Linked DNA regions of Macaca mulatta. The protein of the gene in region 1 interacts with the protein of each later gene in a pairwise test. Links are inferred from orthologs where the notes say so. Each region holds a gene or a part of one and is shown on either strand. Other genes may lie near its edges. The genes, in order: PCBD1 and TFF3.

Region 1 (4,519 bases):
AGGAAGTGTGAGTATGTATGTGTAAGGTGCATATGGAAATAGTACCCCCTCACACTGTGCGGGCGAGAATGAGGACTGGTGTCCCCATTCTGGACATTATCTGGAACTATTTTGAGATACACACCCATGCGGGAAATTGCTGGATTCATAGGGTATGAATATACTTAAGAAACTGCCCACAGCCCCGGGAGCTATTAGAGATGTTCACTGCAGCAGCATTGTTGTTTAACTCTGTGTGTGTATGTGTGTGTGTGCCCACATACTCACGGATTTGGGAGGTGGTGGTAGCAGCAGAAAGTTGGAGGGAACCTAAGTATCCATCACTGATAGAACAAGAAACCACGGCAGACTCTCATTACAAAATACTAGGCCGCAGTTAAAAGCTACAGATTGAATATACATATAGCGACATGGGTAGATCTTAATTTTCCACTAAATACTCTGTTTTGTAAGAAACAGACTGAGAAATGTAATATATTTACATAATACCATTTACATAAATTTAAAAATACATATAGACGAAACAACACCACACATTTTGCAAGAACGTGTGCAAACAAAAATACACATTAACACATTAGAGAGGCTGCTATGGGCCGTGGCGGCGGGCGGGGGGGAATAAAAATGGAGTACAAGAATAAAAGGTAACAGAAAAAATGTAAAATGTGAGAGGACTTTTCTAACCTGACTCTAAGACTTATTATAAAGCTATAATAATCAAGACAAGGTAGCGTCCTGTCATGATGGACAAACAGATCAATGGAACAGAAGAAAGGGCTCAGAAATAAACCCACACATATATAATCAATTGATGTTTTACAAAGGTGCGAAGACAATTCAGTGGAGAAAGGAATAACTGAATCTCCATGTGCAAAAGTGAATCTGGATCTATAACTTGAAGCATACAAAAATATTTACTCAATGTGGATCACAGACTAAATGTAAAACCCAAAGCTCTAAAACATAGGAGAAAACTTTTGTGATCTCGTGTTAGGCCAAGATTTCTATGCGTACAACATCAAAATAGAAATCTATCAAAGAAGCATTTGATAAATTGGATTTCATCAAAATTAAGAACGTTTGCTCTTTGAAAGGCAGCGTAAGATAATTCAAAGAAAATATTTGAAAAGCACTGCCTGATCATGTCCTTATATCCAGAAAAAAACACCCTCAAAACTCGGTAAGAAAACAAACAACCCAATTTCTTTTTTAATGGGCAGGAAATTCAAACATGCTATTCACCAAAAAAGACTTATCCTTAGCAAATAAGTACATGAAAAGATATTCAATATCATTAGTCATCAAGGAAACTTGATATGTTCATAATCTTGATCTCAGTGTCGGTCTCACGAGGGAAACATTAAAATTCATCAAATTGTACACGTTGAATATGTGCAACTTATTGCATGTCAATTCTATCCAAATAAAAGATTTTTATAAAGAAATAAATAGTTATTCTGGCGCCCAGGGCCACCCAGCTGTAAGCGGCGGGCTGGGATTCCAACCCTGAAGTGGGCATTTGGAGCCCTCATGCTTCACCCTAGCTCCCTGAAACAAGCTCGGAGGATTGGCTCTGAGCAGCGAGGAAAGTGCTGGAAGGAAGCAGGCCGAGCGCGTCCCTGGCTGGGGACGTTAATCATTACCGGAGGGCGGTCCGAGCGCGGCCCCGCCCCGGGACGGCCGCCTGCGCGCCCGGCCGCCGCCTGCCCTCTCCGCCGGCCACCTGCTGCCGCCCGCGCCATGGTGAGTCCAGGGGTGCGCCGCCGCGATCGGGGCAGCGGGGCCGGGGCAGCAGCGGGCGAGGTGGGAGCGGGACGGGGCGGGGGAGGGTCTTTTCGAGCCTCCTGCGGAGCCGCCGGGGTCCGAGAGTGGGGTCTCTGCCCGGGTCCCTGTCGCCGGCGGCGGGGAGGGGAAGCTGAGGCCCTGAGAGGGGCATGGCGGGTCCCGGTCCCAGCCAGTTGGGAGGCCAGGCCTGCCCTGACCCAGGCCAGTGCTTGTTCCCGGACCCTGCTGGGGGCGGGGCCTACGACCTTACAGGGCCGGGGAGGACCGTGGTGGGAGAGTTCGCAGATCTCGTCCCCTTAGTGGCCCGATTCGGCTTTATACTGGGGTGGGAGCGAGAGGCAGGCTGAGTTTGCGCGCTCCTGTGCGTACCCGTCCGCGCCCCTTCCCGCTCGCACTCTGGATACAGGGTCTGTCCGCCTGGGACTCACGCTCTGAGCCCATGTGCGGTCCCGGGCTCCAGAGCCAGCCTCCGCGCCGGTTTGAGGCCGGTGCCCGGCCGCGGGGGCTTGGTGGCGCAGGAGCAGCCCTCCTCCCGGGCTAGCTTCCCCCACCTACCCCCGGGGCGGGGGCGGGCCCCTTGCTCTGCTGTAAGCTCGGGCGCTTCATCAGACCGTTTCTGGCCCACAGGCCTTCGGAGCAGGCAAGACTGGGAGGGCCTTTTGATGGGAGAGGGACTTGGGGGAGGGAGGATGAGTGGGGCTGTTTGTGAGGGGCGCTGAGGCCCCCAGAGATGCAGGCTTGGGAAATCGGCGACCACTCCCCACACCTCGCCAGAGGAGGCAAGACCTGGCGGGGATTTACTAAGCAAACAGGGCACCGTCCCCCTCTCCAGAGCCGGCACCTGGAAGATTTGTCAGTTCAGCCCCAGGCTCTGCGACTTGGGGGGTTCCAGAAGGCTCTACCGAGAAAGGGAAGCCTCCTAAGAGCTCACCTGGACTCACCCATCCCTTTAAGAGCCAAGGAAGTAAACAGTGGGCTCTGATGCTTTGGCTGACTTCTGGTTGTCTGGATACACGGACCAGGCAGTCAGCCACGGGGAGAGGGCCAGCTCTGGAGTAGAGACCTCCCTACTGGGCAGATGATGCAAATCGCTGCTGCCATTCAATCCCTGTAGCCATCTAGAGCCGAGGAGAGGAGAGGGGCCAAGCTCCCTCAGTCCGGAGAGAGCTCACGTTTTCAGGAGGGAAACAGGAGGGAAAAAAGACGGACTTAGGAAAGCACTGCGATGCTTCAGCTACCACAAATGCTACCAGGCCCATCACAAGCCTACTTGCCTTAGGAGGTATTTTTTTGTAATGCAGATGACATTTGCTTTATAGCAGTGGAGTTTCCTAAAGTGTCCCATTGGCACCTCCTGATGATCTGTGGAGGTAGAGGTTCTGCCAAGAGAGGTACAGCCACCTGGCTGGTAAATGGTGAAAGCGGGGCTCAAACTTCCTGCCAATCAACACATGGTGTTCAGTCTGCAGGCTGCCTCATAAAAGCTAAATTAACCTCCCTCACATTCCCTCCTCACCCCTAAGTATTTCTTTTCAATTCAGCACTCTATTTCTGCCCTTGGGTGGTGCTACTCTAGAAGCCTAGGTTCTGGGATCCGTTAAGGTCCTAGACCTGGATCCTCCTAGGATGAAACTGACCCTTGCTTCCTTGCATTCTCTGAGGTTCCACTCATGGCCTGAATTGTGCCAATTTGGGCTGCGTTGAGGGCACTTTGCACATTAGGTAAATAGGACAGGGCACTAGGTTTGCCAGCTGCCTTTGGCCAAGTTCCTTCCACTTTGGGGACTGAGTTCTGTGGCCTGAGCTTCCCAACCAGCCAGAAAAGCAGATGGAAAACCGGAGAACCTAGCCCTGGCGGCTCAGGACCAGAGGCTGCCTGGGAGCATGACTGAGGACCTACTAGAGGTAGTGCCAACACGGTCAGCTACAGTGTGGCTAAGAATGGGCTGGACACTTATTTTAAATGCAGCTCCTTTGTCCAGCCCCAGGGATGCTGACACACAGACAACACTGCGCCATCCCTGGCTAGGGGAGGGCAGGAAAGAACAGCAGACAAGTCGTTTCCCCTCTCTAGGCCTGTTTGCTCTTCAATACACATGAAAGTTACCGTAGGGACGTGGGGTGCATATGATAAAGTACATAATAGGAAAAGGAAGGGGGGACAGTCATGGTACTCTTCCTCAGAGGTTGTGGAGTAATATATTTGCATCTGGGATTTATTTTGCTTTTACGCCCTCACTGATGTAATAGATCTTATGGAGGGGAAGGTCTGTAAGGCTTTGAGGGCAGGATAGGGGAAGAGTGTCTCTGTCCCCGTCATATGAATTGCATTGCTTTTGGGATTTCCTTTCTCTGTGTGGAGTGTAAAACCCAAGACCTGAGAGCCTATCAGCGGACAAGCCTGGACCCCACCTCCTGGGCAGAGTGCCACCCTTGAGGGCTTCCAGCTTATTGCTCAAAGACCTGCTGCCCTTGGTCACCCACGTCCAAAGCAGCCAGTGGAGGCTGGCTAAGTTCCCCTAAAGGCTGGAGCCCCTGTTTTGACCTATAAAAAGAAATGCTCTTGGGCCTCGTTTTTTCCCCTCTTCTAGGCTGGCAAAGCACACAGGCTGAGTGCTGAGGAGAGGGACCAGCTGCTGCCAAACCTGAGGGCCGTGGGGTGGAATGAGCTGGAAGGCCGCGATGCCATCTTCAAGCAGTTTCATTTCAAAGACTTCAACAGGGTATGGCACCA
Region 2 (4,524 bases), on another chromosome or scaffold:
CCCCACCCATGACGTGGGGCAGCTGAGCCTGGTGGAGCCAGGGCGGCAAACCCGTGTGCAGGGCCATCTGTTACCTGTACAGCACACAGGCTCTCCGCCTTTGGGGAGGGAACCCCCAGGGTGGTTGCCCTGCACCTGCCCTCCACCATGGCAGAGAGAGGGAGAGGAGATGGCCCTTGTAGGGGGCAGAGTGGGGGAAGTGGGGTGTGGCACCGAGGCCCAACACCCAGGGCTGGCACTGCCTGCCATCTGTGGAGGGGATGCCACAAATGACAAGACTCTGGTGGGGGACCGGTTTGCAAAAACAGCCTGAAAGTCAGCCTGGCTTTCCACACCTATGTGTTTCCACTTCTCTCAAGAATAGTTATTAAATTAGTTTCCTCTACATAACGCCATCATTTTGAACACCTTTTTGAAATGATTGCTTTTATGTTTTACACAAAGGAGACAAAAGAGGACAGCCCCTGGCCATGGCTGCCCTGGGCTTGAAGCCTCTGCTCTGAGGCCTTGGTGCAGGTGTGTGGCTTCCCGGGGACCTCGTGCCTCCATCTCCAGCCCAGAAAGGACAGGGAGGCCCTGAGACCCCCGGCCTTATGGGGCCAGGCCCAGACCATGATGCTGTCACTCAGGCCTTACCTCCTTGTTCCTGCAGGGGTTTGAAGCACCAAGGCACTCCAACGATGCTGGAGTCAAAGCAGCAGCCCCGGTTGTTGCACTGCTCGGGGGTGACCTGGGGGTAGCCGCAGTCCACCCTGTCCTTGGCCGGCACGGCACACTGGTTTGCAGCTGTCCCAAACAAAGCCCTGTCAGCTGCCAGAGCCCTTACTGGGCTGCGGTGAGTATGTTTGCTTCACTTTGCAAGCTTGCATCCTCCCGCTCCCACCTCGAGTTCAACCACTGCTGAAACCCTCACTCCAATGAAGACGGGCTTTCCCTGTGAATATTTGCATCCTCCTGCTGCCCCCTCCTGAGTTCAACCACTGCTGAAACCCTCACTCCTAGGAGGACGGGCTTTCCTTGTGCAAATTTGCATCCTCCCGCTCCCACCTCCTGAGTTCAACCACAGCTGAAACCCTTGCCTTTAGGAAGATGGGCTTTCCCTGTGAATATTTAAAGAGAAGCAGTCTGTTAAATGCTAAACTTGGGGACTCGGGCCATTTGCCTAAGTGTCTGTCTCCTTGGCACGCTCTTATCACCTTCTCAGGAAGTCACATACGGACCTGGGTCCCTTCCAGCTGGCAGGAACCCCTGGGGAATCCAGGGTCCCCTGAACTCGGAAACAAAGTTCCCCTTCACTGTTTGACCAACAAAACCTTGCCCCTTTGTTTTAAATGAAAAACGCGATGGGAGACACACATGCCATAGAGATCGTTGCAACGCATGCTGCCTGCTTTTCATTTTTTTCTGCATCTCCCTTCCCCGAATTGTTGAGCATGTCCCACCCTCCCTGGACATCCTTCAGTCCCCAATATTTTCATTTTTCAGGCAAGCCTCTATGTCTGTGTGTGCAGCAGAAGTTCACCTCGTTTCATTAATGAACTGGGTATTTCCTTAGGAAAATAGAAATCATGTGGTCTCTTAAATTCCCTTCTATTGCTCCCAGTCTGTAATTGCTTATCCTCACCGCGTCCAAATTTCACTCACACTGGAATCAGTTGCAGAGCTTTAGAAATGACTGACGATGGCTGGGCATGGTGGCTTATGCCTCTAATTCCAGCACTTTGGGAGGTCAAGGCAGGAGGATCACTTGAGGCCAGGAGTTTAAGACCAGCTTGGCCAACATAGCGAAACTCCGTCTCTACTAAAGATACAAAAAATTAGCTGGGCCTGGTGGTGCACGCCTGTAATCCCAGCTGCTTGAAGCCGAGGAATAAGAATTGCTTGAACCTGGGAGGTGGAGGTTGCAGTGAGCCGAGATTGTGCCACTGCACTCCAGCCTGAGTAACAAAGCGAGGCTGTCTCGAAAGAAAACAACTGAGGCCTGGCGCTCACCCGCAGATGCCCTGAGGTAACTGGTGTGCCCCAGGCATTAGGATTTTTAAAGCTCTCCAGGTGATTCTAATGGGCTGTGAGTTCAGGAACCCCTGCCTTTGACCCTGCTCAGAAGACACCCGGATAAAAGCCGTACCCTCATTCCTTCAAACTTGGGTTAATGGAGCAGCCACGCCCCCGCCGCAGGGTTGCTATGCAATGGCTAAATGAACCTTGTGCCGGTAGGTATTGAAAGTATTCTGAAGTCAGGGTTTTTCTCCCGCATCTTTCCTTTTTCTTTGTAAATGTGAAAACAATGCATAAAGACCTATACTGTAATTTAGAAATCTCCGGCAAAGATGGCTACGGGGTCATAGGGGATGGGCTCAGGCTCAAAGCCTGATTTCAACAGACTGGGCAGAGCTGCCTTAGATAAGTTGTTAACTTTCTCTGAGCCTCGGTTTCCTTGTCTGTGAAATGGGGACAATAAACACCCACTTCATAGGATAGCGCAGGAAAAAGTGTATATGTGACAGGTGGCCATTATTACATGAATGCAGAATCCCCCCTTATCCTGGATCCCTCTCCTTCCCGCCCACCCTGCTACCGGGGCAGTCAGAGCGGTACTCACACAGGCCCACGTACTCAGCAGAGCTGGAGGACACCAAGGCCAGGACCAGTCCCAGCACACAGAGAGCTCTGGCCGCCATGACTACCGTGGGCTCCGGGATGCAGCTCAGGACACACTTCATGGTCCAGGAGGCCTCATTTATGCCCCGGTGTTTGCACAGCCGCTCTGGATTGTTTGCTTGGGGAGGGCTCTCCCTCCTGGCTCTGGCTGCTCCCGGACTCTCCCGCATGCCTTTGTCAAGCTCCCAGACAGTTCTTCTCTCTCAAAGGGGAGAGGTCAGTTCAGCCTCCACTGTTTTGGCAGCAAGCGGTGAGGGCGGATTCCAGTTCTGGTTACGGGTCCTCTGCTGGGGAGCAGATGTGTGTTAATCACCCTCCTAGCCTGGCCTGGTGCAGGGTGTGGGAGCCACGTGGGGCTGCAGAACCAGCGCACGGTGTCCATCTCAGCCTCCCAGCCAGGAGCCCTCAGAACACCCCTGGTCCCACGACAAGAGAGCCCCAGCCTGCTCCATCCCAGATCAGCCTTGGAGACGGCACTCTGAGTGAGTCAGGACCCTACAGCTCTCTCACAACTCCTGAAACACAGAGATTTCTCGTCTTTCTTTTTTGCTTTCTCCCCTAAAAATTATTAACTACATTTTAATAAGTGGATGAAATGAATTGATTGAAAATATGTTAATAAAAACATGGCACACGTAATTGATTTTTAAAATCAAATAATACAAAACAGCCTCTCCTATTCAGAGGCATCTATTGTGAACTTTCTTAGGTATCCTTCCAGAGATTTTCTCTCTGGATCTAAGCACTTTTTTTGAGGGGGGTGCGGGGGGAGACAGGGTCTTGCTCTGTTACCCAGGCTGGAGTGCAGTGGTGCAATCTCAACTCACTGAGACCCCCGCCCCCGCGGGGCTCAAGTGATCCTCCCACCTCAGCCTCCTAAGTAGCTGGGCCACAGGCATGTGTCCAGCTCATTTTTTGTATTTTTTTAGAGACCGGCTGTCGCCACGTTGGCCAGGCTGGTCTCAAACTCCTGGAGTGAAGTGATCTGCCTTCCTTGGCCTCCCAAAGTGTCAGGGTTACAGGCGTGAGCCACTGCACCCGGCCACATTCTTAACACAAACAGGAACTGACTCTCCACCTTTGCCCGGTGTGCTCTTTTAGAAACTAAAGACTACATCTGAAGAATTGTTTTATAACAACATATCAGATGAGACAGCGATGATTATATCCATTTTCCAGAGGAAGAAACTAAGACTCAACATTTCTGGTGCCTGCCGGAGGTTATTCCAGTATCCCTGGTATAGCCAGTATTTAACGCAGGTCCATTTAACCCAGGACCCTAAGCTTCCGCCCTTGGCATCCACAGCACCCCCTAACCCCCTAACCTCCTGCAGTGCACTGGCTGGTTGTGGGCAAGAGACTAATCTCATTCCAGGAAAACGGGTTCCTAGATTTTGTGTTCTCCGTGTTTCTTTTCCAGGGAGGCATTTTGATGACCCCCACTGACCCTTCCAGGAGCCTCTGTCTGAAGGGTGGACTTGGTTTATTACCCCGAGAAATGGGAGCGCCTGGCCGCTCAGATTTAGCCTCCAACTGGGGTCCCTGGTGGTGTGTGCAGGGCGGCTCTGCACTGCCAAGGGTGCGTCCACAAACTACCCTTCCCTGAGTGACCCATGGGAGCCCGAAGGCGCATGTGCTGGGCACCAGGATGTGTCCTGCCGTGTGACTCCCGGGCCCCGCCTTGTGTCCCGCAAGCCCTTTGTGGATGGATTTGAGGGCCCCTCACCTCTTGTGTGCCGCCCCTGCTGAGGCCAGTGAAGGAGGAAGAAGGAAAGAGCATTGTCTGCCTTGTTGTCAGGGCACTCACTTTTTCTGGGAGACAGTGAACCCAGGTTCATCCATGGACAGCAGGATTTTCATGTT

Evidence for each region.
Region 2: the proteins of PCBD1 (region 1) and TFF3 interact in binary tests that used the Homo sapiens proteins (3 or more experiments, as listed by UniProt). The two-hybrid records come from large-scale screens. The link is inferred for Macaca mulatta from reciprocal best matches to the Homo sapiens genes PCBD1 and TFF3.

What each region holds. Positions count from the first base shown.
Region 1 is NC_133414.1:78,748,318-78,752,836, forward strand, and holds the start of PCBD1 (pterin-4-alpha-carbinolamine dehydratase), read left to right. Parts: upstream 1-1,715; 5' UTR 1,716-1,740; coding exon 1,741-1,743; intron 1,744-2,055; exon of another isoform or gene 2,056-2,425; intron 2,426-4,376; coding exon 4,377-4,508; intron 4,509-4,519. UniProt on the Homo sapiens protein: Involved in tetrahydrobiopterin biosynthesis. Seems to both prevent the formation of 7-pterins and accelerate the formation of quinonoid-BH2. Coactivator for HNF1A-dependent transcription.
Region 2 is NC_133408.1:5,175,149-5,179,672, reverse strand, and holds the start of TFF3 (trefoil factor 3), read right to left. Parts: upstream 2,847-4,524; 5' UTR 2,832-2,846; coding exon 2,603-2,831; intron 787-2,602; coding exon 637-786; intron 1-636. UniProt on the Homo sapiens protein: Involved in the maintenance and repair of the intestinal mucosa. Promotes the mobility of epithelial cells in healing processes (motogen).